Linked DNA regions of Caenorhabditis elegans. The protein of the gene in region 2 purifies or fractionates together with the protein of the main gene of each other region. This does not show direct contact. Each region holds a gene or a part of one and is shown on either strand. Other genes may lie near its edges. The genes, in order: scpl-4, slc-25A10, catp-8 and let-721.

Region 1 (7,495 bases), on a different chromosome or scaffold from region 2:
ATAATTTTTGGACTTGAAAATGCCTGAATCAACCAAATATTATGAGATAAAAGACCAAAATATGCTATAAAAATGATAATTTTTAAAAAAGTTAATTTCCAACAGCTGCGTCACGGAAAAGTTAGCAAAATTGGAGATTTTAATTAAGTCATTTTTGAAACAAGCGAAAAACTTAGAACCGATACTTTATCTTCAAATGTACCTATATTTATGAAAAAGTAACGTTAAAAAAAGAAGTCAATAGAATCTACGTACCAGTCATGATCACTGTTGAATATTCGCTCTTTTTCTCTGCACCATGAATAATGCAAGTACATGGAAAAAAATGCGACTCGATTCTTGATGGTATAATAAAAACTAGCCAACTGTGTAGGAGCGGACAAAAAGACCAGTATCATCCCAATGGACACAGATGCAACTTTAGACGAGACAAATTTCAGGGTAAATTGTCAGATTGGACAATTTTGGACACAATACGTCATATCTATGTTGTAGGTAGTAAGATGATAGGACTTTTAAGAAACGCTTTTCTAATATTGGAATTATTTTTTAATGTTAGGAGTTCATGCTAGATTTATATCTGCCTAACTTTTAATTACAGTTGTAAATTTGAAGAAAAAAAAGAGAAAGTGTATCATTAAACGATAAATCGTACTTTCACTATGTTCTATCACAAAAAGGAAACTCCTGCAGATTTCTTCATTATCACTCGAGAAAGATCCGCCCATTTCTATCATAATCTTTCTGCGTCTTCTATCTTTAAACCTTTCCACCATCTACAATTATTTTCAGAAATCGGAGAGAAAGATTAGTGTAGTATTTATTTACCAGTAGTTTATTCTTACCTTCATAATTGTCCCTCTGTAATCCTTCTCTTGTAGATGACGTCACCAACTGTATTATCTGCGTCTCTCCTCCTCCTATGTTCTCTCTTCTGAAGACCCGTTGCTAAAACGAATGAATTGCTCAATATGGAAAATATATATTTTATGACGTGGAAATAGTCAAACAATTGTAATCGACCAAATGTTTGATTTGACTTTAGAGAGTAACAAAAGAAGAGACGCAGTGAATGAAAGCTTTCAAAATTTGGAACGATCATATACTGCGTCTCTTGTCTTGTGGATGCTTCTGATGCCCTTTTGATGGCAACATCGACCCAGATAATCGAAATGAAATGAAAAGAGAAAAATAAAAAGTGAATGTGATAAAGCTTTCTCGCGATTTTTCAACGCGCGTTTATCAAATGAGAAGAACACAATTTTTCTGAATGTTTTATCGGATTTTATGGTGAGAATTTCAAAAACAAAAGGAAAAATGAAACGAACACTTCTGAAAAAAATTGATACGTTTTTTTGGAAAGGGTGGAATAAGAAACAACAAAAATCAACAAAGAAGTGTGTAGACGGAGAATTCAACTGTCATATACCGGCTCTGAACAACTCTAGTGTGGGAAGAACTAAATTTAAAAAAACACAAGAATGGAAAGAACTAAAAAAGAAAACAATATAAACCTACAATCCTATATTATTAGAAAAATTGAGCTATAAAAAGGCACATTGAGAGTGAAAAGGGCGCAGGGAAAAGAGAGTCAGAGTATCATATCATCAGATGAAAAATGTTTGGAAAGTTTAGGCATTAACGTGTCTTCTAGATCCGAACAATCTTCCAGAATATCTTTTCAACATGGAACTATCATCGGGTTGTTGTTTCTTTTGTTCTTCTTGTTGTGACAAGTATACAGCTCGTCGACGGAATTCTTTCGCTGGATCATCGTATTGCGAGTAGTACTGTAGCATGGGACGAACATCTTCAGCGTCAGATAGGTGAATAGCTGAATTAATAAAATACAAAATGTTCCAATAACGGGATCGATAATGATCATGTTTTTTGCCAAAATTATAAGATTTTATGTTATAATTTTAAAAATGATGTAATTAAATATCGAAGTCAGATCTGTTGGTTTTTCGTTTAATGCGTTTTTTTTTGGTTTTTTCGGGAAAAAGGAAAAATTTGCGAAAATTTTGTTAATCTATCGCAAACTGAAAATCGTATGATAATGTTCAAATTTAACACCTTTTTTTTCAAAAGAAAAATTACACTGGAAATTAGAACTATTGAAAATTTCAATAAAATATCTGAGTTTTTCAAATTAACGTTCAAAACGTATTTTACGGGAACACAGAATTCTGAGAATGCGTATTGCGCAACATATTTGACGCCCAAAATATCTCGTAGCGAAAACTTCTTTAGATGACTACTGTAGCGCTAGTGTCGATTTACGGCATTTCGAAAATCGAGCCCGTAAATCGACACAAGCGCTACAGTAGTCATTCAAAGGATTACTGTAGTTTTCGCTACGAGATAATATGTGCGTGAAATATGTTGCGCAATACGCATTCTCAGAATATTGTAATAAAACAAATTTTTTTTTGCTTTTTTCGTGCTTTTGGCAAAAAAAATTAAAATTGAAGCAAATCATTCATATTCAAAACAACTTACTTTTAAGAAGCTCTGCCAAATCAACTAGACTTGTATCATCCATATTTCCTTTCCACTCTGGTACTCTTAACATGTTTTCTGGATTTAATTGTCCTGATTTAGCGTCAAAATCGATATAAATAACTTTCGACAAATCGCGATTCAATTTCGACAAATCCTGGAAAAAAAGTTTAACTAATTAAGAGAAATCGTAATTTTTTACTTTGACATGGTGTCCATTCATATACTTTGTGCAATCTCTGAACAACTTGTACATAATTCTTTGTTTTGGATCAAAACTATCAACAACTGGAGCAGCTGTCATCATTGATTCAGATGAATAGATAACGACTTCAAAATTTGGATATCCAATGACATCGAGGAAATAGTCAAGTGCTGGACGCTTTAGGAAACGATATCCAGTTTTGTATGTCCATTCAGGATGCACAAGAATATTTTTCAATTCGATCACAATTGTATATTTTGGTTGGAGATATGGTGCTGGCAATGGATCAGGCAACAATTGCTCACGTGCTGGCTCGACGACATACTGAAAATAAAAATATTAAAATACAGTACTGCCGGAAAAAGTCGCGATTCCGACTTTTTTTTTTGAGCAGAAATTACAAATCATTCTGATAATGGTACTAATTTTTAATCATTCTTTTTATATTAAGCTATTTTTTGTAAAATTATTCATTTCAAAAATTGGTCAAGAAAAAGTGCAATGGATGAGATTAACTAAATCTATTTTGAAACTTATCAAATTTTGCATGTGTTACTGATTATGGATTTATAAAATTGTTGGTCTATTTGATGTTTTAAGAAATATTATTATTGGTATATGAATAAATTAGATACTTTCAGAAAATATCAGCAATAGCTGTAGAAAAAAGGTATTCTGGCATTTTGTGTTCAACAATGTTATACATTTCTTTTTTGAATCTTTAAAAGATTGAATTCTCACATCTCTCCATAATTTAAAACTGTTGGCAATGCGGTAGAACGGTGCCAAGAAAGAACCACTGAATTCATCAGATATCACATTTCCGAATTCATCTCGTTGTGCACGTCCATAGTAGAAACAGAACGAAATAAATCCGATAATAGATCCACCAAACAGAACATATGCTCCAATGCGAGTATTTCTTTCCATTCGTTTCCGGCGAGCTTCGATTTCTTCAGCGTTACCAGGCTTAAAAACCACACTTAAAACAGTTATGAATATAAGACTTACGTCACTGTTATCACTAGAACCTCCAGAAGAAGAGGAAGACTTTGATGCAGCAGATTCCAATTTTTCAAGAGAATCTTTCAGTGAGTTCAACTCGTCAATGGCTGAAGACGTGGGGGCAGGAGCAGGAGGCGGGGAGCTCAGCACCTTTTCAGCTTCTATTTTTGGACTTTCCTACAAATTTCAAAATTTATCAAATAAAACAAATTATGCGTACAACTTCGAGTTTCTCTACTTTTGGGGCTTCTTCGACTTCTGATTTGAATGCGATTGCTTCTTGGGTCTCATTTATCGGCAATTTGATACTAGCAAAAACATTTCCGTGCTGAAAACTGTATAATTATAAATTATCTATACTGATTCAAGTCAATACGTTTATTGGCACAATTGGAGCAAAACGAGTGCGTCCATTGTCTGCATAAGGGTTTGCAACAGCCGGTGGGCCCAGAAGAGATTTAAAATCTGAAATTTTTGTATAATGAGAAATATTGGTGGAATCTTACCTGAACTATAAAGTCTTATAAATGTTTTCGCTTGGTGTCGGCTGAAGCAGGTCTGAGTCAACTTGCTCAGCGACATTTTTACCCTGAAATTTTTTGGGATTGGTAGAATCTAGAAATGCGTACTATGATGCAATAATTAGGTTAAAAAAAAGTATGAGAAAACGTAGAAATTTTGATACAAGACCTAATTATTATCTTTGCAAGAAATTTAAAATGAATTGAACATTGTAATAGAATTAAGAAAATAAAACAGGAAAAATCACGTCTTGAACGAACCCTTACGATTTACGATAAACAACACGCGAATCGTAAACCGGAGTGTCGTTGCAAACTTTCATGAAAAATTTTGTTATAATTTTTATAATTTTAACAAAAATGTCTGTATCTTGTTATAAATTTATACTTATAAGAATACGCTTGTTTATTTAATACTTTTTTTCACGAAAATAGTATGCACTAAAGATGTGTTCAAAGAAGTTCCCTATTATTAGCGCTATATCGCTATAAATGTCGAGATGTCAAAGAGCGTGACTGAATTTATTAAATTATATAGATAATCCTGTTAATAAATCAAGCAAGTACAAGTTATTCTTGAAATAAATGAATAGTCGATTTTAAATCGAAATCACAATAGGCTTTGGATATGAATTCAACGTTAGGAGAATATATTATAGGACCGAGCTTATCAACAATCATTGGAGCAATAGAATAAGTTATGAATAGGGATAATATGCTATTAAGGATGAATTAATAATCTCTTATACTATATCTACGGTTTCACATGAAGCATTCTTGTTTGGTGCCATCCGAGTTGAATGAATAGTCGAATAGTGATTCGGCATTGTTGCATCGTATACGCGGAAGCCAGGAACAAGGACGGGACGTGACTCAACCAACTTCAAATGGATTGCGTAGAAATAGACAATATCGTGTAAAACTGCGCAGAATAGTAGAAGGCCGAGCATATTCAACGAGATGTCCACTGAAAAATGTTTTCTCAAATAAAATTCTGGTTCGCTCAACTCACTGATGTTTATCCGTGCATCAACTAGCTGCTTCACTTTGAGCATAAAAAGTACGAGAGTTCCGTTTGTGGCCATGACTGCAAGGAAAATGTAGAGTGGCATGAAGAGACGGCGGTAGAGAAATACTCCGGAAAACAGTATAGCGAGAAGTATCAGCCATTGCACAATCACGACACGAGTCAGAAAAGCTTCATCTGGAAACAAAAATGTATTTTTAAAAAATTTTCAGAAAAAACTCACCAAAAATATTGTTTTTCTTCCTTGGGGTATAGTTTCCATACTGAAAAACGAAAGATCCTGCATAGTATCCAATAGTCAGAATTGCAGCAAATGCATAAAGAAGAACTACTCGTGGCGAGTGTTCAATCCATTCCATCTCTAAACCATCAATGACATCTCGCTTCATAAATACTGTTAGCGGCTGAAAATTTTAATTAGTTTTAATTATTTTTTAAAGCATTTTTCAACTTACCTTTTCAGAACTAACAACAGATTTGCACGGGGGAATATAAAAATAGCTGTGCTCCGCATTCGGTACTGAGTATTTCTTAGAAGCAGGAGTAGCGAATATTGTGTGATTAGTAGGGATTGAAGAAATAAAAGAGGATGACGACATTCCTACTGAAGTGATCGAAGATCAACTGAGGAAATATCGACTGATGAGCATTCAAAACTATCGGGTTCATCATTATGTTCGAATTCGCGGGGTTAAAAAAAGAAGAGCAACAAATGATCTACACACACGCACAAGTCTAAAAACAGGAAAAAATCGAAATTATGATCTAAAAGTTTGAAATATTTATTATTTATACTCTTTCAATATCTAAATATTATTTACACAGAGAACAGAAAATAAAAAAGTTCTTGAAACAATTTCTAAAGCTTCTACAGTAAGAATGAAGGCGCATAGCATTCTTCGTTTAAAAATATATTTCGCGCGGCGAGGCCCACTTGCATAATTGGACCTCCCTTTAAAAAAGTTTGAAATTCACATTAAAAAAGGCCTTTAAAGGCAACGTTAACGCGATATTTACAATGATCATTGTAAAAAGTAGAATAAAAATCGTTACGGTCGTCGTTAGATATTTGACGTGTTTTCCAAAGTTCATAGTTAATTTATTCTATTTAGATCCCTTGGACTTGTATCAACTTAATTTATTCTATCTCAAATTGTGAAAAAATGTTGATTTTATAAATGTCAAAAACATTTGAAGATTTTTACAACTAAAAACATCGCATACAATTTTTGTAATCCCAAGGGTCTCTATCTCCTAGCAACGAATTTCTGACTCCATCTTCCTGACTTCTTTTTGTTTTCAATTCAATTGGCATACAAATAAATCCTATGATTATACATAACCTACACTCTTTCGCCTGAAATCCATTTCTGGTCGAAAGTGGTCATTTTTCTTTCTAAATTGGTATGAGAATGATTTTCTGTCCAATAAAATTTCCACATTCATTCATTCCTGTTCCGTGTCCTATTCTATCTTCCTATTGCTCCCCTCATATAATTTTTTCAATGGCATGTAGTCACGATAAGCATAGTTTTACCAAGTTTATAAACAAACTAAAATGTACACCTTCACATGAAATTTGAACATTTTCATTCAAGTGGCATGATTAGAAAAAATATGTACCAAATTTTTTTAATGACGAAACTTATGATACTGCTCAAATTAAGATTTAGAAGATAAACTAAATTGTTAATCAAATTGTTTCAGTTTAAACTGTTCTACCAACCATTATAAATTAGACTGAACTCATTTGCACAAAACACTTTTCCAGATTTCTAATTATAGTTTTCCACATTTCACTCTGCTGACGTGGCATTTCCATTTCAAATTCACACTCAGAAAACTTGAGCAATTTTCAGGAAATTGGCGGAGTGCCGTCTGATTTATAGCCTTTTTTTTTGTTCGTTGCTTTCATTTTCATCCTTTTCTCTCATTGCTTTCTTTGCCAGATATTCTCGTATCCAATTGAAGGAATAACGAGGAAGCTGTGAAGTCAAGAGAAGTAGTGTATATGTGTCTTCTTGTGACGTGGCTTCTAGTGAAAGCATAGATTCAGAGAAATATAGAGTTCATTGCTCATAAATTTTTATAGTTGGAAGGCCTGTTAGAGAGTGCGCCATGCCCATCGTCCAGTCGTTTTTCCATATTTGTTTTACTAACTTGGTAATTTAGATTTGATTTTCTAACATCAACAAATTTATTCAGAATGAGAAAATATTCATCCAACATTGTTTT
Region 2 (6,017 bases):
GAGCTCCGCCTTTAAAAAGTTGATTTTTTTCAAAAACTCATTAGAAATTTATATTACAGATTGCTCTATTTGGAATAGTCTCTCTTCTACTTCGTGTTGTGTTTATGAATGGAGCAACAAAGTTGTTGAGCAAATGCCCTACATGGTGGAATCTTACAGGTAATTTACAAGAAAAACTCTAATTTTCTCAGACAGTTTTATCAAACCTTGTTTTTTACATTTCAGCTCTAAACTATCACTTTGAATCCCAACCACTGCCGACTCCGTTTGCATGGTATGCTCATTATTTCCCGCAATTCTTCAAACAGTTGGCAACGTTGCAAATGAATTTTATTGAAATTCTTCTTCCGCCACTCTTCTTGATCCCATTGATCCACGTTCGGTACTTTGTTTTCTTCTGTCAGGTGAGTGATGATGACAATGATACAATTTAACCACAAAGTTCAGGTTCTTCTCACGACACTCACACTTTTCACCGGCAACAATGGTTTCTTCAATTACAATATTCTTGTATTGATGGTCAGCTTGTTGCAAACACCCAGAGTTCCAATTGGTGCTTCATTCCTTGCCGCGATAGTTTTCGCGAAAATCGGATTTGAGGTTGTCTATCGGTTGCCGTACAAAATTTTGTTTGAAGACGATCGTTTGCCCAGCTTTGCACTCAGTGAGTTTTGAAACTTTTTTTCTAAGTTTGTGGACTGATTTTTATGATAATTTTTTTTTCAGCTCTCACGCACGAATCTTTCCGTAAATTCATGATATACTATATTGATGTCATTGTTGCAACTATGGCAATAATTTTTACAATCGTCAATTGTTATTCGATGTTAAAGTAAGTTTTAGCCTATAGGTGGGGTAGCCCCAATGGGGAAGCAATGCCAAGATGACCAAAATGACCAAATTGAAAATGCGAAAATCATCGGATGTCATAGTGAAACTCCAAATTATTATTTTTATGTCTCATGAACTTATGGTTTTTCAATAGCACTGTCGCATATTTGAATCCCTGCAATGTTTGAACATTCACAGTTGAAATATAATTAGATAAAACAAATTTAAAAATACATTTTGAAAAAAATTATTATGATATTTGGACATTTTCGCATCATTTCGCATCATTTCGCATCATAAGGTTTCTAACAATTTACGCACTGGCGCTACGCTGCCTTTGACATCTTAATTTTTTTTTCAGAGTTGGTTCGAGTCAAAATGGTAGAATGAAGAAATGGGTGCACTTGGCATTTGTCTTGTGCTCCGTCCTTTTTCTCGGTGTCTATGGAAATATTCCATTGCTAAGAATGGACGAGAAACTTGCTCAGCGAACATACGAGCCGCCAGTTGTGATGACCATGTACAAGACTGTGAATAGCTGGAGCGTAGCAAACTCTTATGGATCCTACAGACAGTGAGATTTCACTTTTTTGAAATTAATTAATTTTTGAAAACTCCAGAATGACCGGAACACACGGAAGACCAGAAATTGTGATTGAAGGATCTCATCATATTGAAGGACCTTGGAGAGAAATCGAGTTCACCTCGAAACCAGGGAAGGTGTCAAAGCGTCCAAGATTTATTTCTCCTCACCATCCGCGTCTTGATATGCAAATGTACTATGCTGCCGAAGGAACATATCAGCAAAATCCGTTCTTTCTGTCACTTGTCTATCATCTTATGCAGAACACAACGGAAGTTGTAAATTTGATTGAAGATTATCCATTCAAAAATCGATCAGAGCCGATGAGATTTGCGCGTGCCAAGCTCTACATGTACCACTTCACTGATATCGGAGACAAGTTTGTGTTTTATTTGAACTTATATAACTCCAAAACTATTTTTTTAGAAACTGGTGGACCCGCAGCTTCCAAGAAGAGTACATGCCGACCTTTAACAAAGGAAATGACGCTCTTCTCAACTATCTCACCGAGCACAAAATCATTAACAAAAGGAAAAGTGAATTCGTTAACGGTCCTCTTGGAAAGTATCTGAAACAGTGCCACCGTCTTACAGCCGGGATCGACGAGATCGCCTTGATCTCCACAATGGTTGTGCTGGTGTTTTTCAGAAAAATGTATAGCTACTTCTTTTCGGCACATCGTCGGAATGAATAGACACCTAACCACTTCTTATTAGATACTCGATTTTTTTTGTTTAGCTTTAATTGTTGATTTCGCCATCATCGAAGCATTAAAATTCATTGACATCTCTTTTTCTTCCCCTGTTTACTGGTTTATAAATTATTTTCAATTTTTTAAAAACATTTGTTTTTTTTTTTGAAATTTGCATGTGTTCGATTCACATTTTATATATTCATTGCTTTTTTAAAATTTTAATTAATATAATAATATTAATAACTTACAAAACAGGTTTTATAATGGCCGAAGACAAAACCAAACGACTTGGACGATGGTATTTTGGAGGAGTGGCTGGAGCCATGGCCGCTTGCTGCACTCACCCCCTTGATCTCTTGAAGGTTTTAAACACATGACTCACTTTCGCAAAAATCCAAAATTTTCAGGTTCAACTTCAAACTCAGCAACAAGGAAAACTGACGATTGGCCAACTTTCACTTAAAATCTACAAGAACGACGGAATCCTTGCGTTCTACAACGGAGTATCTGCATCGGTTCTCCGTCAGCTCACTTATTCGACTACTAGATTTGGAATTTATGAAACTGTAAAGAAGCAACTCCCCCAAGGTTGGATATTGTGCCCTTTCAATGTTTTGATCACAGAATCAATATTTAAGAAAAAAAAATCATTTTCCAGATCAACCATTGCCCTTCTACCAAAAGGCGCTTCTCGCCGGTTTTGCTGGAGCATGCGGTGGAATGGTTGGAACACCTGGAGATTTGGTTAACGTTAGAATGCAGAACGATTCTAAGGTGAATCTCAAACAATTAACGTTTAAAAAATAATAAGTGTTCCAGCTTCCCCTAGAACAGCGCAGAAACTACAAACACGCTTTGGACGGATTGGTGAGGATTACTAGAGAAGAGGGATTCATGAAGATGTTCAATGGTAAGCCGTTATAAAGTTTTTTAAAATAAGAAGCTTGAGAACAAAAGTACCGCATTCATTCTATTAGTGCTAGTATCTCAGTTGTCGGTCTTCCTATATAAAAATTGTCAACTGACAAAATATTTTTGTTCCTTTATCTATTGTTTCATAATACTAAATTTATTGATTTTTTTAAAATCAACCAAATTATAACTTGACAAAATGAATGAATGTGAAAATGCAGTATACAGGTTTTAAAATAGAACCTATCGTATTTTTAATTTCTAATTAACCTGAACAATTTGAAACTTACTGTATTTACTCTATTAGTAAGTCATCCATATCAAACTTGCACCCTCTATCATTAATGTACCTCGAAATTCTTTTAATGATTAGTCTTGCACTCAGTCTTATTCTTGAAATTCCGACTAACTACTTTTAATTTTTTTTTGGCTGTCTCCATTATATATTTGAATTCAAAATTTCAGGAGCTACTATGGCGACATCTCGTGCTATTCTCATGACCATTGGTCAGTTGTCATTCTATGATCAAATTAAGCAGACTCTTATCTCTTCTGGAGTTGCCGAGGACAACCTACAAACTCACTTTGCCAGTTCGATCAGTGCGGTAAGTATGGGTAAAATCAACAACTTTTCCCAGTGTTATTGCCCAACATCAGTACCACACACAAATACCTAGATCAGCACCAAATACACAATTCATTCATATTTTTTCTAGGCTAGTGTGGCTACTGTCATGACTCAACCATTGGACGTGATGAAGACCAGAATGATGAACGCCGCCCCTGGCGAGTTTAAGGTATTATCGGCATCATAAAAAACGCCTACCAAAGTCTACTTTATTTTTTTTTTTGCAGGGAATTCTCGACTGCTTCATGTTCACCGCCAAGCTCGGTCCAATGGGCTTCTTTAAGGGATTCATTCCGGCTTGGGCTCGTCTTGCCCCACACACCGTTCTTACATTCATCTTTTTCGAGCAGCTCCGATTGAAATTTGGATATGCTCCACCAGTAAAAGCTTAAATGTTTCCCGAAAAAATTAGATGTTTCCATTATATTTTATATGTAGAATACTTTTGTGTAGAGATTTCAATTATTTGAATCAAAATGTTTGAACTTTTGTATTAGGAAGATCTGATCCTCCCGTGTTCTCTTTATACAATTTATATATTTTAATGTGTTTTGTATTTTTGATCTATTCCCTTGCCATTGCTGTAATAACCATTTGCATTTCTGAACAACACTAGTCAATAAACACCGAATTGTATTTTGTTTTACTTTGAAAATTTCTTTTCTAACGAATGTGTGAATTCAAACTAAATGTTATCCCATGGAAAAATTTCATAACTATCAAACACAAACTCTTTCCAAAAAATACTGTTTGCTATTCAGGATATGAGTAAACTGTTTACGTTCTGTCAGCTCGATAACCCTTTTTTTTTTGCAAAACGCGCACACCTGTGTATAGGACAGCGTTTTTTTCCACAGCGTTTTTTCCTATTCCTCCCCATTCCTGCCAATAAAACATTTCACATCTGAGAGCGGTAACCAACACTTTTATAGTTTAACGTCTTTTAGTTTTGTTCATTGTTGTTCACACAAGTAGAAGAAAAGGAAGAACTGAACAAAAATTAAATGCGCGAAAAGAATATCATGTGGTTGAAATGAATTCGATTATGACAAATAGATGAGCAACACTTTTTGATTTCTGATAGTTTTCTTTCATTGTGTTCATTGTTGAATCGTTTCCCATAATGCGGTGTTTCACATTTTTTCTTTATAGTCTACGTCATCCCTGCCTCTATCGTGTTTCTGCATAACCAGAGATGCATTGATTTCTTGTTTCACGTTTTTTTGATAATCCTTATCATCTTAGGCTTCGATTTTGTTTTCAACTCAGCGTGGTTACTGATACACAATTCATTCATAATTCAAATGACTATTTCAGGTGACAAGTTTCTTGGCTCCGGTATGGCATCGTCTAATAACGATGGTCCCATTGAGCCTGAGGCTGAACCGTGGCGAATAACACAAAACGATCATCTCGAGCAAGATCTTTTGGAAGAAGATGCAGAGAGTCAGGAGAGAGTTGATATTCCAGTTGATGATGTGGTAAGTGACCCAAGATTAAATTATTTTTAATGAGTAGGTGGCGTCGATTTTTTCTTGAAAGTTACCAAAAGTGCCAGTTGCGAATTATTTTTTAAGATGTGAAGATTGCCGGAAGAACATTTGTATTTCTTCTATTTTTAACAAAAAAGCAGTTCAAATTCATTTTTCGCTCGTTTTCTTGTTGTTTTTTTTCCCAAAATAAACGCTTGTCATTTGTCAAATTTATTGAATTCGACAATCACCCACTGTTTGAATTAATTAGAGCTTCCGATTACCGCCCACTGTTCGTTTAAGTTATGTCTCCTTTATGGTGAAATTATTACAAATTTGGAGTTTTGATTTTCGAAATGTTTGGTTTCAGTTCTTATTGATAAAAAGTTTTTTATATCAATTATTAATGTTAATTTCCTATAACCAATTTTTTTTCAGGAAAAAGCGTTCTCCTTCAAAAAATTATGGGCGTTCACAGGGCCCGGATTTCTCATGAGTATTGCCTATTTGGACCCAGGAAACATTGAAAGCGACCTTCAGTCTGGCGCACAAGCGGCTTACAAACTTTTGTGGGTTTTGCTCTCAGCTCATATTATCGGAATGTTGCTCCAACGAATGTCTGCAAGACTTGGAGTTGTCAGTGGAAAACATATGGCAGAGGTAATATCTAAGTTACATTGAGTAAATTTAAATATTATGTGCTTAAGGTTGCCTACCAATTTTACCCAAGACTTCCTCGCATCATTCTCTGGCTTATGATCGAGATTGCAATTGTGTGTAGTGATATGCAAGAAGTTATTGGAACAGCAATTGCCATTTTCTTGCTCTCTAAAGGATTGTAGGTTGAATTTTGCTTTGGCGTGTTTTAACATGTTTTTAACAGCGTTCCACTCTACG
Region 3 (9,865 bases), on a different chromosome or scaffold from region 2:
ACTCTACAATTTTCGGAATTTTGAACTTTTTGCCAGCCGACTTTCCATTAGTCTCCAGAGAATATCACGATGGTCTTTATTCTGTTTTCTCATATTATGTGGCTCGATGTCTCTCATATCTTCCACTATTTACTGCCGATGGACTTATTATGCTTCTTGTATCATATTGGATGGTCGGATTCTCGAGTTCTATTACACAGGTAATTTTTGAAGGAAAAAAAGTCAAAACTTGAAGTTCAGAGATGTCATATTTTCCTTTCATAATATTGAGAATACTGTATTATGGGGACCCAGAAAAATGCGTTTTTAATTGGCGGCAAAACAATACAAAACACTTTCGAATCCATGGATTTGCCGCCAAATACCTAATGGGACCAAACTTCGAAATACGCATTATTCTGCGTCTCCATAATATTTTTGAAAAATTGGAATTCCAGGTTCTATACGCATGCCTCATCGCCTTCCTCATTGAGCAATCTTCTTCAGCTTGTGGAATCATGATTTCTTGCATTTCGCCGTCTTTACCGGTTTGTAAAAAACTTCAATTAACTTCATAAATCATAGAATTTTCAGATCGCAATGTCAACTGCTGGCCCAATGCTCACACTTCTATCATTGACTGGAGGTCTTTACGCTAATGTTGGTGCACTACCATCATACATCTCGTGGATACAGTATCTCTCGTGGTTCAGATATGGATTTGAGGCTTTTGCAATCAATCAGTGGAGCAGTGTCAATGAACAGAATACAACTATTTGGACTGATGAGGTTAGAAACAGTTTGAAATGCTGTTAATTTTAATTTAATTTTTCAGAAACGTGATTCCGTACTCTCCCAATTGTCATTCCGCGCTGAAATGTTTTATCCGGATCTCTTCATCATGTCTGCATTCATTTTGATCTTCTACACTATTGGTTACGCTGGATTAGCTTTGCGAGTCAGCAAAGCTCGATAGAAACAATTTCTGATGTAAATTTTATACTCGTTACAAATTTGTTGAATGTTTGAATGATGATGATAATTTTATTACTAAAAAAAGACTCAAATAAATACATTGTAAATGAATCTGCAAGATTTCAACAGAAATGTATATATCACAGAAACATTATGCTCTGAAACAGCGACAATGAAATGACTATTTCTGATCTTAGATCATGCGATAGCTTTGGTTCTAAGTGAAGATAAAACCGAAAAAATAAATTAAACAACAGGATGGCAGAAAAAAGATGTTGATAGGGAATGTCAAGGAAGAAGGATAATAAGAAAAACGAGTAATTTAGAACATATCTCCCAGCAGGAAATTCAGACCACGATCGATGATATAACAGATAACAAGATCCGCTGTGACACACATTAGCAACGCATTTCGTAGCTGAAATGAGAGAAGTATGAATAAGGAACACTATTTATAGGATAAAACTTACAGCTTCTGGTAGAACAACTAGTTCAAATTGAATCATGAGATCCGTAGCTTGTCCACTGGCAAGAGTGAAAACTGCTCCTCCTGAGAACATAATACTGTAAAGCATGGCCTTATTCTCGAATAAAGATTCCATGAACGGTCGTCCTCTGTAGTTGACAGCAAATGTGCAAACTTGAAGAGCCATTGAAATTATATAAACCGTAGTGTTCAAAATATTTGGCGTGAATTTTGCTTCCAAATCGACAGGAGCTTTTCTGAAAAAAAAAGTTGAATATTCAAAATTGTGCACGAAGATGGTGTGCACCCGGTGGCAAATCCATCCAGAAGCGACCTTAGATCTTCGCAGGACTATTTCGGCGGGGATGTCGGCCCAAATCACGTACAAACATGACCTGGTTCCTATCCGCCATAAACTCTACAGCGCGGGCACGAACCAGCGACTAACGGGCGACAAGCGCACACGTTAACCATTCGACCACACGGCAATGCCGCCGGAGAGATACAACTCGCGTTTATAAAGAATATGGTTTAGGGCTGGACAGCAAAATACAATTTTCTGCACATTTTCAGGTTTTCTTTAAAACTTACTCTGTATTGGCTTCATGTGCGAGTCCGACAATGTAAAGGAGACAAGAGAAGTGTACAATAAACTGAAGAGTGACAGTCAGAAGAGTATAGGCATTGAAAATATTCGCCATTGGTCGTTGACGAGATAATGTTTTCAGAGGCTGGAATTTTAACATAAAAATTAACAATAAGCTAGATAAAAAACCTTTGATTTTGAAATGAACAAGAAGCATGCTGCAAGAAGAAGTCCTTGAATAGTTGCCTGGGTATCACTGAATTTAACGCCATCCAGATAAAGTGCAGAAAGTGAATAAGCAGAAACAAGAGCATTGAGAGCGAGAATTTTGAACATTTGAAGAGTTGTAACAAGAGTACAACGACCTTGTTTGATGACGTGACAAACTGAAAAAAAATTGAGAAGTGAATGATATTATACAGAGGCACAACATTTTGCACTAAAAGTAATAAATACGGTACCCGGTCTCGATACGACAAATTTTTGGCAAATGTAAAAACGTGTGCGCCTTTGAGGAGTACTGTAGTTTTAAACATTTTTTGCTGCGGAGTTTTCATAGTTTTTCGTTAAAAAATTATTCATTAAAAAACTCTACAACAACAAGAGTTTTGAATCTACAGTACTTTTTAAAGGCGCGCGCCCGTTTGTATTTTAAAAGTTGTCATGTCGAGACCATAGGTTCTGTAGTTTTAGCGCAAAAATCTGGGTAAAATTGTTTGAAAAACTCACTGGATGCAATCGATGTATATTTACTGGTGAATGGCGCAGCAATTGAGGCATCACCCAACTTGATCACTTGAGCTTTTTCCTCTTCTTCCAACTCTTTCATTAGATTATCTAGTCGGGCTTGAGCAGCATTAGCCATTGGTGGTAGGGGAGCTCTCGCGCGGGCTCCAGGAGGAGCATCACGACGAGCTGCGTTAGCCGCTGGAGGTGCTCCTGGGGCACCTGGTCGTTGTGGTAATTGAGCTCCTGAGCGAACGAGTGAACGAGCTTCTTCGATTTTTGCTTTTTTCTCTTTTTCTTTTTCAGCGGCCTTCTCTGCATCATAAGGGTTTGTTAGAAGAGCAACTCCAACGTTAGCATGCTTCAAAGCTCCGACATCATTTGTACCATCTCCACACATAAGAGTAACTTTTCCTAATGATTTTAACTCGTTGATAATTCGTTCTTTTTGTTTTGGAGCCATTCTTGCGAATACTTTAACATGTAGAATAAGCTCTCGTAGGAAAGTGTGCTCATTGTGCACCAAGTGATGGAAAGCTGAACCGGTCAGACAGAATTCGTGAGAATTGAAGAACGCTTTTCTCTCCATTTTATTTTTTGTTTCTGGTTTCAACGGCAATTCGATAGTTCCATCAACAGATTTCCACATCCAGTCAACTCCATCGGCAGGTTCATCAAGAACTAAAGTCGGCAATGACTTTTTGGTGAATTTAAGAACTTTTGATACATGACAAGCTGTTAATGGGTTATCTCCAGTAATCATTGCAACTACATGAGAACTATCCATAATTTCACGAATCATTGTTTTAGTATCACTCTTCAGTGGGCACGATATGACGACAAATCCAGCAAATGCGAGATCATTTTCGAAATTCTCTCGTTTCTTATCGCGAAGTTCTCCAACTCGAGTTTCTCCAAGTTTACGTATTCCCATAGCAAGAACACGAGATCCTTGACGAGTCAGACGAGTATACGTTTCGTCGTAATCAGATGGAAGGTCGGCGTACTGTAAATAGAAATTTAGAAAATGACTATTACGCAGATGTGAAAGTTTTCTATAAATCTATACTAAATGCAAATTAGTACGCGCCTTTAAACTGTAATTTAAAACGCATTGCTTTGGAATTTTCATCGATTTTAATAGTTTTCTAATAAAAATGATAATAACTAAAATAAAGCTATAAAAACAGATAAATTTGAACAAAATTTGAGAAATAATCGATACAAATTCAACAACGATGATTTTTTTTTAAAAATCGAACATTTTCGTTCTTCGTTCTGTTGACTTTCCAAAAATAGCTTACCATCTTGGTTATTTTTCTTATTTTATGAAACAAATTGTGTTTTCTCATGTTTTTTTCTCATTTTTCGTCAACATAAATAAAAATAGGATAAAAATTGAATTGTATGGATAATTTTCTCCGGAAAATCGAAAAAATATAAATTGTTCGTTTTTTATTATTAAGAATTAAAAAACCAAAATTTTTGATTTTCTGTTTCTCCAATTTTTCGATAACAAACATTCGATTTTTCAAAAATTAGCTCAAAATTTTGGCCATTTTTCATTTTTTTTTTAATGAGAAAATTATATGTTTCTTATGGTTTTCTGGAAAATCAAAAATGTTGGCTTTCCATTTTATGATAAGTCAGACAATTTTTTTTTTGAGACAAAGATTTGTCCTGTCGAGACAAAATATAAAATTCTTACCATATTTCTGAGCACTTCTGGAGCACCTTTGACAGCTACAATGAATGTCGTATCAGAAGTTCCAGGTGATTGATATCCAGCAACAACTGTCATTCTCTTCATTGCCGATGAAAAGTGATAACGATGGAAGATTTTAATTCCAGAAATACCCTTGGCTGCTGTTTTAGGCGGCATTACAGCATCTCCTTTTGTTAAATTCCAACCACACCATGAAAGACATGCTTTTTCCAATGGATCTCCAACGAGATCTTCTTCGAATCGAACGAGACTGTGACAAGATGCTAGAACTTGAAGACTTTCATGTGGAAGATCTTCTGCGTTTCGGATCATTCCTTCTTTTTGATTATTCAATGCAACTCCTTCAACAACCAAATTGTCAGTTGTCAATGTTCCTGTTTTGTCAAAACAACAGATATCGACTTTTCCGGCAAATGGAATTCGGAATGGTTCTGTACAAAAAATTCCCAATTTTTGAAGAGCCATCAATGATGAGTTGACAGCAAGTGATAATTCGATTGGAAGCTCCGGTGGGATAACAGAAGTGAGAATAAGTGTACATTCAAGGAACAATTTGTATTTACTCCGAGTCTCGTCAACTGATCCTTTGATCCAAAGATATGCAGCAGCGGCAATTGCGAAAATAAGAAGGAAAAGAATGAAACAGAAGGTTTCCAAATTGTTAGCAGTTGCTTTCTTGACTCCGAACATGATAGTACGGAGGAGTTTTCCTTGAGAAGTGTTGAATCCAGTTCGAATTACATAACAGATGCAGTTTCCATCCGGTGATTTTACCTGCAAATTATTTAGCTGAGAATATGCCTTTTTCTCATTTTCTTAACGATGGAGTACAGAAATTTGGTCACAGGCTTCATTAGGTTCAAAATGGCCTGGTTCAAAGATTTGATGAAAAAAAATTACTTCCAGCGAAAATCTCAAATTTTGTGTACAAGTCGCGGAAGGAAGTATTTTGGCAATTTATCACGCGTTGTTTCGTTGATTGAAATGCCTTTTTAGTCAACAGAGTGATAATTTTTAAAAAATTAATTTGCGACGCTGAAAAATTGAAAAAAAATATATCAGATTTAACTGAAAATAAGTTTTTTTCTCAAAAATTTGAACCGCCATAACTTTTTAAAAGAAATTTTCACAATGTATGATCACGAAAGTCGGTATTTTTAACCAATTTGGGAATAATATATCTAATGTCCAAAAATTAAAGAAATATAAAATACATTTTTGGTGACTCTAAAAACGTTGTATTTTCAAAATCTTACCATTCCCTCTGCAGCTTTTCCTGGTGCTGTGTGCTGAACAATCTTGGTTCCTCCGAAGATAACGTGTAATCTGCTGTCTGTTTCAATATCAAAGATCTTATCTTTTTCAACATCCTCAATTGGTTCTTTCATTTGTGGAACACTTTCTCCAGTTAACATCGATTCATCAACGATACAGGGTCCACGTAGAAGCAGAAGATCACATGGAACACATTCTTCTTCAGCACCTCTTCCAATTGAAACGATATCTCCGGCCACTAACTCTTCAATCTTGATTTTTTGCCATTTCTTGCCACGGAGCACGTTAATCATATACGTTTTATTTCCCATATTCCGGATTTCAGACATATTCTTCATTTGCTGTTTGACGAGTGTTGCTTCGAATGTCATAAGCATGAAAAGTGTAAAAAGTGAATAATACCACATATCTTCCAGACACCACAATCCAACACAGAACACTTGAAAGACGAAGAATGGAGCTGTAGCTCTTTCAATGAACATTTCCAAGAATTGTGGAACAATCATTTCAGTTTTGTTGTCTCCGAGAAGATATTTAGCATCTTTAACATGCTCTTCAACTTCGAATCCGTGTGATTTTTGAAAGAAAACCATTGGTTTCGCAGTATCAAGAGTTTTCGTCTGAAATTCTCTGCTCTCTTCATCCCAAGTATAGTGAACTCTTTGAAATTCGAACCATAACTTTGTTTGTTTATCACGCTGAAATAATTCATTTGAAGAAAATGTTTCTAAATAGTTGTGACTAACCGTTGTTCTCATAAGTTTAACTAATTCCGGCCATCCGTTATTTTGTGTAGGGATAACACACACATGAGAAGCAATACGAACATCTTCTTGCTTTGAACACATGAGGAAACATCGAACAGGCATCATCCAATGACAGAAAAGAAGAACTAGTGCAAGAATCACAAAAATTGCTGCATATCCCAACATTCCAAGTTCATAATATTCTTCATAGCCGAAAATATTGAGCCAGACATATGTCCAGATTGCAGTGATTACTGAAAGATTATATTTATTTTTAAAAATTCCATCTCATTAACTTATTCTTTGACTCACTTGTAAAAGGAGGAACATATAAATGAGTTGCTATAGACCTTAAATTGTATGGTATAATAGTCTCGACTAGTTGGTCGACACCCATCTTTCCGGGCTACAGGACCCTGCAAAATCGATTTTTGTATTTAGAAACAATGCGAATTTGAATTAAAGTATAATTGTAAACGATATGGAAACGTTGGGAGAGTTGAATCATGTCACAGTCATGGATTTAAAATGATACGTTTATTTCAGATTCTCCTGCGTCGTTTCTGTACAGAAAGAAAATAAATTTAGCATAAATACAAAAATATAACAAAAAGAGCAATAATGTTGAACAAAAACCATGATAAGGTACGGGTAAGAGAGGCCAGACGGAAAGAGATACCCAAGAAAACAGGAGACGCGGGGATCGGTAAGAGAATTTCGGGGCTGGAGAATGAGAGAAATAGACGGGAAAGTGGGGACACCAGGAGTTGGACCTATTCGATGTAACATTATTAGTTCATCACTTCTTCGCTGGTGGCTTTGTTGAAAATGGCATTCCGATATCTTTGCCGCGCAACTTGACTCCAAGCGCACGCTCCATTTTTGCCATGATCTGTTGATTTGGGACAGCCTTTCCGCTTTCGTATTCGCCGACTACTTGCGGCTTCTCATTAATTTGCTGAAATAAAATGTTCAATTAAAGATCTCATTTTAAAATTAACTAACCGTTGAAAGATCTTTCTGCGTCCAACCTTTCGTGGCACGAGCCTGCTGCATGACTTTTCCGAGGGACAGAGCAACTTTCTGGTGATGAAGCTCCTCCGTTTCTTCATCAAGCCGCAGAGTGTTCTTGTTGGCGCTGTGCTGGCGATTGCCACCAGACATCGTCTTCTTTTCGGTCGAAATATCAACTCCAGCACGCTGAGCAGCATTCAATTGAGCAGCCGATTTCAATGTCTTGTTCACTGGTCCTCGCTTCGTAATCATTGTGACCGAGTTTGGATCAGTGTCAGAGGTTGGGCAGCCATACTTGGACATTTTGATAAGATGGAAGTTTGTTGGAGACTTGTTCTGAAAGGAAGTTATTGTATTTATAGTATGTCAGAAACGATGAAATATTGCACAATATGATCCCGGAGGAAGCAAATAAATTAATGTTCAACGATATTTTCAGTTTTTTTTTAAATTCTGACACTAATAACAATGAAACGATTTCATTCTTACTAGTGGCAGAATATATAATCATGGACTACGAAAAAACGTTTTATTTGTGCCATTTCAAAAAACATTTAAAACTTGACAGACGGAAGGAAGAACTCTTTTCAATCGACGATTGAACACGTAATTGCTCTCTGTATGAACAATTGTCATAAAAATTATTCAAATTTCAAGAAAAAAGAAAACACTCAGAAAATACGTAAAATTTCAGTCCAAAAACAAAAAGAGAATCGTTTATTTTTCGAGAAAGTTCCACGGAGCCATGAGGTTTGTGTGCAAACACTGTGACGCGCAATTGCGGAGCGAATTTCAAAATCATGTTTTTTTGTTTGCAATTTGTTTGTATTTTGCAACATTTTCACTCTCTTGAACCCTTCTCCTTGATATTTTTCTATTCAGAACGTTTTTAAAGCTTTATCAAATTACATTCTCAGGAGTAATCGTAAATAATCTACTCATGAAAACCAGAAAACTCTATTCCAATATAGCAATAAAATCAAGTGTTGTTTTCAGGGATAAAATGGATGGTATCGATCCTCGCCGCATGAGTTCAAAGATGGTTGCGGACAATTTATGTAGACAGCCGGTTAGCAAAGATGATGCGATCTGAAAAAGTAACATTATTTCAGGTTACAGCGGACAAAATCGAGCAACTTCGGAACCGAGAGGAGAAAAGTGCAACGGTGCAATGCAGAGAGAATCATGCCGTTGCCGAAGAGCTAAAGAAACAGATAAGCGAGCTCGCCCATATTCGGAAATCTGAAACTGTCGATTCTAAAATTAAAAAACTGGAATCTGCTGTTACGAGTTTGAGAGAACAATCGAAACCGCTAAAAGTAGGTCATAACTTTTGAAAACCTCTAGTAATTGTATTTTTTGTTCAGAAAGCTCTAAACACCGCTCTCTATTCAACGGACACTGAATTACTAGAACTTGTCGGTCAAACGACGCGTGAGACTCTTCTCGAAATAAATGGAGGTGCTGTAATTGACCCGGTTGATGCTGGAAATAAAATTGGAGATGCTCTGAAACAAATCGAGACTTCTGTGAAAGCTCATACAGTGGATAAAAGTAACTGGTGCGATGAATGGATTGTCGATGATAATATGGATGAGATCAATGAAATGTACGACGATATGTACAAAGACGCCCGACTCTGTAAGGAAACTAAATTTTTAGTTCAAATTGATTTAAAATTAAACATAACTTTATATGTTTGCTTCAGCGGAAAACCATAGATTTGCTTCACGCCTTGCCCTATTCCACCGTCTGACTCCTGAGCTGGTTTTTGCGAGCAGCTCGAAAAAAGACGATGATGGTCCTCCTCATTATAAAAAATTCATTCAGCCTGCAGTTTATCCATTTAATATTGGTTGCGATTTCATGTTCGTTGGAATGTTTCTGTAATTTATATTTTTATTTTTATTTCAGTGTCCAACTAGTTGATGTTGAACGTGTTGAGAAACAGAAAAAGATCCGCGAGAAGGTTGAGAGAGGTGCGAAGAGAAAAGAACCCGCAGCACTTGTCAAAGTAAGCGATAAGGCGAGAAACGTTCAAAGTGAAGAGGTTTCAATCTCAAAAGAGCTTCAACATGTTCTGAAAGTTCTGAAAAAAGAGCTTAAAACTCGGAAGACGGATCAAATCGACTATTACGAACTCATCACAAATCCGACTAGTTTCTCTAGAACGGTAAGCTCATTTTTGGTTAAATAACTATTTTACGGGACATTTTCCAGGTTGAAAATATGTTCTACGTCTCGTATTTGATGCGCGATCGTGAAGTTTACCTGCTAGAAGAAAACGGTGTTCCAATTCTGAGTACTGTTTTTATATTTAATTGTCTGTAAATATTTAATTTCTTTCAGAAAAACCTACCGCTGTGAATGAT
Region 4 (6,575 bases), on a different chromosome or scaffold from region 2:
GCTTCTTCTGGAGTTTCAGCCAGGAGACTCTTCCTTCTCCGTTCCGCATCCTTATTCCTTCTTTCCTGAGCTTTTTCGAATGACTCCCTTTGCAGATACTGGCGTCGATGCTCTGCAGCCTTTATTCTTCGATTATTTGCCTGATCTTCCGACTCTTGCATTCTTTCCATTTTTTTTCTTTCAGCTTGCCTTTTCAATCGTTCTCTATATTCTTCTTCTGTCTCTTCTGAGCATCTCTTCCTTTTATAGTCTGCAGCCTTGGCAAGACGTGTGTGAGTCTCCTCTGATGTTTCACGAGCTCTTCTCAGACGTTTCCGATGTGCTTCTTTGGAGAGTCTGCATTCTCTAGATCCTTCTTGAGGTTCGGATGAACTTGGAATATCCGTAATATGAGGTCTGAAACTTAAAAAAAATTTTAATATGCTATTTACTACTCTTACTCATCACTTGAACCAGGTAAAAATGTTGCTATAAAATTCTGAATTGTTTCTTCTAGGCCAGCATTTTGTGGACTTTCAGATTTATTCCCATTACTCTTCTCATCTTCTTCTTCGTCTTCGACAATATTTTTGCAATCTTTTCTACTCATTCTGAACTTACAAATATACATTAATTTTTCAGAAAACTTGAAAATCTACATTACTAAATACACAGACAGAGGTTTTGCGACTCCTGCGCCAAGAATACGGTGCCGATTCTCGACACGACATGTTTTAGTTAAATGAGAAAAACTTGTGCGCCTTCAAGGAGTACTGTAATTTTTTAATCTAGTTGGTGTGGAACCGTTCATGATTTTTCATACTTTTCTTACGTTCTGTTAAAATTCGTGTTTTTTTTTGAGTTTTCAATAGTTAAGGATGTTTTTCATCGGAATACGATGGAAAATCGATGAACATTCCGCAACTACAAAAGTTTGTAATTAAAGTACTCTCCAAAGGTGTGCACCGTTTTGAAATTATCACATTAAAAAAAATATCATGTCGAGACTGGGTACCGTTTTTGGCGCAAAAATCTCAAAATTACGCGTCGGAGTAATAAGAAAAATATAAATAAGGCTCAAAGAAAACAGGAGAATCGATGACGGCTTTCTGTGTGTCTGTGTGTCTTCATATCTTCATTGTCGGTGTTTCTGTGTGTATGTCTGTCCAGAGACAAACATACACGAGCGCAGACGTCTTGTTTGATTATCTGCGTCTCTTCTTCTATACAACACTTTGCAATCTTTTCAGAAAAGGATACTGTAGTGGGATGAATGTATATATGTACCACAATTATGGCAATATTGAAGCTTTTCCGTTCAAGTACACACTAATCAGAAATCTATTCATTTGGTTTGGATAAAAATGTAATGGCATTACAAAAGATGGGGAACACGAAAATGAGAGAAAATTGAGAGAAACCGTTGAAGAACAGAAATACATAATCTACGAGTCGATAGTGGCGAATAAATAAGTACAAAAATTATACACAAACATAAACGAGAAGCTAAAGGATTCACATTCCCTCGTATTTTGGGCCACCACCTCCTTCTGGTGTAACCCAGTTAATGTTTTGTTGAGGATCCTTGATGTCGCATGTCTTGCAGTGAATGCAATTTTGAGCATTGATTTGGAGACGCTTCTTTGATTCATCAGCTTCGGATGGGACGAATTCATAGACTCCTGGAAAAAAAAGTTATTTATGTGTTTTTAAAAGTCAAATTTGTATTAAAATCTCACCAGCTGGACAGAATCTAGCCTCCGGGCCACCATATACTGCCAAATTCACATCAAGTGGAACTTGATCATTTTTCAATGTCAAATGAGCAGGTTGATCTTCTGTATGGTTGGTTCCAGTAAGAGATACAGATGTAAGAAGATCAAAAGTTAGCTTTCCATCTGGTTTTGGGTAATCGATTTCTTTTGCATCCTTCACTGGAATGAGCTTCTCATTATCCTTCTTTCCGTGTCCAAGAGTCCATGGTTCAATTCCTCGACCGAAAACATAGAATATTCCAGAATAGATCAGTCCTCCAATGTATCCCAATGAAGTATTGAATGATGGACGAATATTTCTGGTTGCTTTGAGCTCTTTAACAACATAAGTATCACGAATATTCTTGTCATATGTAGCTGGATCAATCGTTTGCACATCCTCTCCCTTTTGTTGAATATCCTCGAAAATTGATTCAGCAGCCACCATTCCACTTTTCATTGCATTATGAGTTCCCTTCAGTTTAGCGACATTCAAGAAACCAGCTGAGCATCCAACAAGACATCCTCCGGGGAAATGAAGCTTCGGGATACTTTGGAATCCTCCTTCATTGAGAGCTCGTGCTCCGTACCCAATTCGTTTTCCTCCTTCCAATTGTTTAGAAATCGATGGATGAGTTTTGTATTTTTGGAATTCTTTGTATGGATTGAGATTTGGATTCGCGTAATCAAGAGCAACAACGAAACCAACGGAAACAAGTGGTTGTCCTTGATCCTCGATATGGTACAAGAAGGATCCTCCGTATTGATCAACATTCTGAAAAATCATTTTTTAGAGATTAAATTCTAGAATATATCTTTTAATCTGAAACACTCAAAAAAAAAGCTCACATTTTACTAGATTTTTCAATTTTTCTTAATTTTTTAGATCTTCAGAAACTTACCAATGGCCATCCCATAGTATGCTCAACATAACCAGGTCTATGCTTTGCTGGATCAATTTCCCAAAGTTCTTTGAGTCCAATTCCATAAGTCATTGCATGTGTTCTCAAATCAAATTTATCGAGAACTTGCTTGCTCAAATGTCCTCTACATCCTTCAGCGAAAATTGTGCATTTCGCGTGGAATTCCATACCACGAGCAAATCCATCTTTCGGTGCTCCATCCTTTCCAATTCCAACGTCACTTGTGGCAATTCCCTTCACACTTCCATCTTCATTGTAGAGCACTTCAGATGCAGCGATTTCTGGCCAAACTTCGACTCCAGCTGCTTCAGCCTGCTCGCCGAGCCATTGAACGACCTTTCCAAGACGAACAATATAGTTTCCGTGATTTGCAAGTGGAACTCCAGGTAGCACTGGAACTGGAATTCGACCAGATTCAGTGAGAATAGCGATAGATTCAGAGGTAACTTGTTGGTAAACTGGAGCTCCCAGCTCTTTCCAATTTGGAATAAGTTCATCAAGAGCTCGAGTTTCAATTACAGCTCCTGAGAGAGTGTGCCCTCCAATAACAGATGCCTTTTCGACAACACAGACACGAAGTTCTGAAATTAAAAAAAATATGTTTACTCTAAAATGTATTTGTTTAGATTTTACCTTTCTGAGCTTTTTCAGCCAATTGTCTCAATCGAATGGCTGCTGATAAACCAGATGGACCTCCTCCAACAATGACAACATCATAAACATCACTTTCTCGTGCCAAATCAACATCCTTCCACCGTGGATCAGTGGATCGATCCTTTACAGTATAGTGAGTAGTCGTCCATTGTCCGTTGACGACGTTGCGAAGTTGTGATGAGACGCGGAATAATGTGACTCCACTTATCCGCATTCTGAAGTCACAGAAATTGAGAAATGAGAAAGAAATCGATAATTGAAGAAATAATTGTTGCATTTTAATTTTAAAAAATTACGTGAATTTTCAATGAAAAATGTATTTGCTTTTTTCGCAAAATATATGCATTCTGGTTACTGTTAAATACAAAAAGGTGTGCGTCTTTAAAGAATACTATAATTTCAAATTTTCTGTGGAATTTTACTCTATTTTTCATAGATTTTCGAAAATAATAATAATAATTAATAATTAATAAATAAGCTTATTTACAGAAGACTCAAATATATCCGTTGATATAAATACTTAAATTTTAGTAATTCTGGAAAAAAAACAATGATAAACCGGTAGAATTTATGTAGCAACCTATTTATGTTTGAAACTACAGTACTCATTAAAGACGCACGCCTTTTCTCATTTAGCAAAATTTTGTCGCGTCGAGACCGGTGACTGTATCTTTGGGCGCATAAAATTGAAAAAAGAAACAACTAAAAATATATTTAGACACGATGGGAAAAAACAAATCGATTGACCAACTGCAGACAAAACAAACAAGTCAACAACCAGCCAAGCCAGCCACAATAAATGGGTGATTTACTATCAAAGATACATTTTTCGAATTATTTTTGGGGTCACAAAATTGTAGTTCTAAATATTTTAGCTAAAATTTATAACTTTCTTCTACGTATTCCTCAAATGAAAACAAAATACATAATTGTTGTGATTTTCGGAAAAGAAAAGCAAAAAATCAGGGTAAAGTGTATCTTTGCGTACGTGTAGAGGAAAGGAGAGATAAGAGGAGTAGACAAAAGGGCAAAGTACAACGAACATGTGTCTCCCACGAGGGACAAAAAGAGGAGAGACTACAAATCTGAACGTCTACAGTGCAAAGGTAGCTTAGTGACGTCACAGGAAAACAAAGTTTGTAGGGGGTTCCTGGGAAGTTTGAAAAGTTTGTTGAATTTTAACATTATCAATTGTAAATTGTGCTTTTAAAATGTGAATAAGAAAACTGGAAAAAATATTATCCGAGTTTTTGAAAAAAAAGTTTTCTCTTCAACTAAATATTAAACGTTATTTGTTTGCCTCTTCAACTTGTCTACGTATTTAAAATCAAAACATTAATGGTCACAGATCATAAATCACAATTCTATCATTAGAAGAAAGTAATATATAAAAGGATGTTCATCTTCACCCGTATATTAAACCAATTTTTGAGTTTAAACAAATGCATAGTTATATTGATTACATGAAAAACAAACTGATTAGACTTACATAAACCGGATGAAAACGATTCGATCATTAAGAGATCAAATTGAATGGAACACAAACAAAACAAAGGAAATATGACAGAAATTCTAATTACAATAAAAAACTTTAAAAGATGATAAAATGCCCATTATACATATTTGACTTTAATAAATCACTCAGATGGCTCCTCTGCCTCTTCAACACCTTCTTGTGCGGTTGCTTTTCGATTCCACCAGTTTGAGAATTTTGCTTTGACTCGACTACCGGTTTCTCCTGAAAACACGATCGAGTTAATCACTTTAGTATTAAAAATATTTTTTTCGTTTTGGCAAAATGTCAGTTTTGTAAATTTTGAACATTTTGAATAATTCAAAGCAATGAAAGCTATGCCCTCAATTTTTTACTGCTACTTCATTTCTCGAAATTTTTTAGATGCTATATTAATTTCCAAACCCGAAAAAAATTACCAATGGTATTTCCTAAATTCTTTCCGGCAGTATTTACAGTTCCAATAACTTTTGAAGCTCCTTCAACTCCATTTACGGCATGTTCAAAACGAAGATACACGTCATAGACTCCCATTTGTTCCGAGAACATGTGCCTGAAATATTCAGATTGAAAAATGTATTCATGTTCTGAAATTCCTCACCCTGGCGCAACAGATGTTAAATCTTCATGTTTGTTTGCAACCCAAATTTTGTGATTTTTAGTTCTCCGCCATTCGTTTACAAAAGCGATTCCAAAATGAGGTATCGCTGCTTGTAGATCGGAACGTGACGTGGCAACGAGGCCAAGAAGATAGTTTTTCATTTGTAAACGAATCCATTCATCTGATCCATCGAATTCAGCATTTGAGGATTTAACCTGTTCTTCGACTTTTTTGAGAATAAAATCAGCGAATCGAAGATCTGCAGTAGTTAGAGAAACTACTCGTTCCAATGCTGTGTCGTTGACAAATTCAATGTGATTATGGACAAGAGAACCGTCGTCTTCGATCTGAAATTACTCAAGTTTAGTTAGAAACCTGAAAATTGTTAATTTAAAATACAAACCTTCACAATAACATCAAATAAATCCTTTTTCATCGCAAATAAGGCATTCGTAGCTCCAAATATACAACTCTGAGTCTTCGGGACTAAATCCATTGATTGAATTGATAGATATGGATCAAATGATGATCCTTGTGTGAATAAGCTTATAGGAAATCCACACGAATCCTTTTCTTTCAATGGATCATCATGTGAAAGCTGAACACCAACCTCCTCTTCTATCACTATTTCTTCGCTTTTTCCTTCAGTTTTTGAATTTACATTTTTGAAATGACAACTCGTATTGACCCCGATTGTTGCGTAGAACAGACCTTCTTCCAAAAGCTCTGAAATTCAAAATTAAACGATTTTAAAATGTCTGTATATTCTTACTTGGAAACATTGAAACAATAGCCAGCATAGTTTCTCCTAATCGTAATCCAGTTGGTGCAATGAATAAAACTTTCCGCTCTAATAGGAATAATTTAAAAAGCAGTAGAGCTCGGTGACGGAATCGTATAAAAAGCTCTTGAATTGATATTTCTGAAACTGATATCGCTAATTAAAATGTGAACATTTGAAACTATTTTCATGTTTTATTTTAGTAAATTGATTCAATAACGTACCATGATGAGCTAGATTTGAAAAGTATTCTCCAGTAAGATTTTCGTCGAATATATCGCAAAGATTCGTATACATTTGAGCAAGAACATCAACTTTCGAAAAATCTTTTTGTTCAAAATATGCCTGAGTTATTACTTCCAATTTTGCT

What was found.
Region 1: the proteins of slc-25A10 (region 2) and scpl-4 fractionate together in Caenorhabditis elegans (co-fractionation; one large-scale study listed by BioGRID). This does not show direct contact.
Region 3: the proteins of slc-25A10 (region 2) and catp-8 fractionate together in Caenorhabditis elegans (co-fractionation; one large-scale study listed by BioGRID). This does not show direct contact.
Region 4: the proteins of slc-25A10 (region 2) and let-721 fractionate together in Caenorhabditis elegans (co-fractionation; one large-scale study listed by BioGRID). This does not show direct contact.

The regions. Positions count from the first base shown.
Region 1 is NC_003283.11:10,595,911-10,603,405, reverse strand, and holds scpl-4 (Mitochondrial import inner membrane translocase subunit TIM50), read right to left. Parts: upstream 4,302-7,495; 5' UTR 4,295-4,301; coding exon 4,219-4,294; intron 4,178-4,218; coding exon 4,089-4,177; intron 4,041-4,088; coding exon 3,933-4,040; intron 3,890-3,932; coding exon 3,719-3,889; intron 3,677-3,718; coding exon 3,449-3,676; intron 3,032-3,448; coding exon 2,705-3,031; intron 2,660-2,704; coding exon 2,503-2,659; intron 1,835-2,502; coding exon 1,632-1,834; 3' UTR 1,259-1,631; downstream 1-1,258. Other genes in the region: H27A22.1 (Glutaminyl-peptide cyclotransferase), read right to left, coding at 846-851; T21C9.13 (DUF4149 domain-containing protein), read right to left, coding at 4,977-5,200, 5,246-5,437, 5,484-5,664, 5,716-5,859. UniProt on the Caenorhabditis elegans protein: Essential component of the TIM23 complex, a complex that mediates the translocation of transit peptide-containing proteins across the mitochondrial inner membrane.
Region 2 is NC_003284.9:6,722,015-6,728,031, reverse strand, and holds slc-25A10 (Mitochondrial dicarboxylate carrier), read left to right. Parts: upstream 1-2,363; 5' UTR 2,364-2,371; coding exon 2,372-2,470; intron 2,471-2,515; coding exon 2,516-2,696; intron 2,697-2,766; coding exon 2,767-2,882; intron 2,883-2,927; coding exon 2,928-3,018; intron 3,019-3,485; coding exon 3,486-3,625; intron 3,626-3,736; coding exon 3,737-3,817; intron 3,818-3,875; coding exon 3,876-4,040; 3' UTR 4,041-4,289; downstream 4,290-6,017. Other genes in the region: K11G12.6 (Lipase maturation factor), read left to right, coding at 60-159, 226-404, 448-664, 727-832, 1,193-1,405, 1,452-1,793, 1,841-2,108; NRAMP-like transporter smf-1, read left to right, coding at 4,989-5,129, 5,559-5,780, 5,828-5,958, 6,004-6,017. UniProt on the Caenorhabditis elegans protein: Catalyzes the electroneutral exchange or flux of physiologically important metabolites such as dicarboxylates (malonate, malate, succinate), inorganic sulfur-containing anions, and phosphate, across mitochondrial inner membrane.
Region 3 is NC_003282.8:11,472,357-11,482,221, forward strand, and holds catp-8 (putative manganese-transporting ATPase catp-8), read right to left. Parts: upstream 6,896-9,865; 5' UTR 6,877-6,895; coding exon 6,792-6,876; intron 6,734-6,791; coding exon 6,480-6,733; intron 6,432-6,479; coding exon 5,715-6,431; intron 5,233-5,714; coding exon 4,441-5,232; intron 3,739-4,440; coding exon 2,736-3,738; intron 2,393-2,735; coding exon 2,196-2,392; intron 2,152-2,195; coding exon 2,012-2,151; intron 1,897-2,011; exon of another isoform or gene 1,678-1,896; coding exon 1,425-1,677; intron 1,373-1,424; coding exon 1,277-1,372; 3' UTR 1,007-1,276; downstream 1-1,006. Other genes in the region: wht-2 (ABC transporter domain-containing protein), read left to right, coding at 1-200, 438-527, 574-768, 815-955; mbf-1 (HTH cro/C1-type domain-containing protein), read right to left, coding at 7,279-7,437, 7,485-7,796; nse-4 (Non-structural maintenance of chromosomes element 4), read left to right, coding at 8,497-8,562, 8,606-8,812, 8,861-9,134, 9,202-9,361, 9,408-9,666, 9,714-9,795, 9,843-9,865.
Region 4 is NC_003281.10:6,443,383-6,449,957, forward strand, and holds let-721 (Electron transfer flavoprotein-ubiquinone oxidoreductase, mitochondrial), read right to left. Parts: upstream 3,526-6,575; 5' UTR 3,525-3,525; coding exon 3,290-3,524; intron 3,238-3,289; coding exon 2,636-3,237; intron 2,509-2,635; coding exon 1,719-2,508; intron 1,662-1,718; coding exon 1,495-1,661; 3' UTR 1,311-1,494; downstream 1-1,310. Other genes in the region: C05D11.13 (Vicilin-like seed storage protein At2g18540), read right to left, coding at 1-402, 441-589; T26A5.6 (UDENN domain-containing protein), read right to left, coding at 4,948-5,048, 5,243-5,376, 5,425-5,771, 5,828-6,150, 6,197-6,352, 6,430-6,575. UniProt on the Caenorhabditis elegans protein: Accepts electrons from ETF and reduces ubiquinone.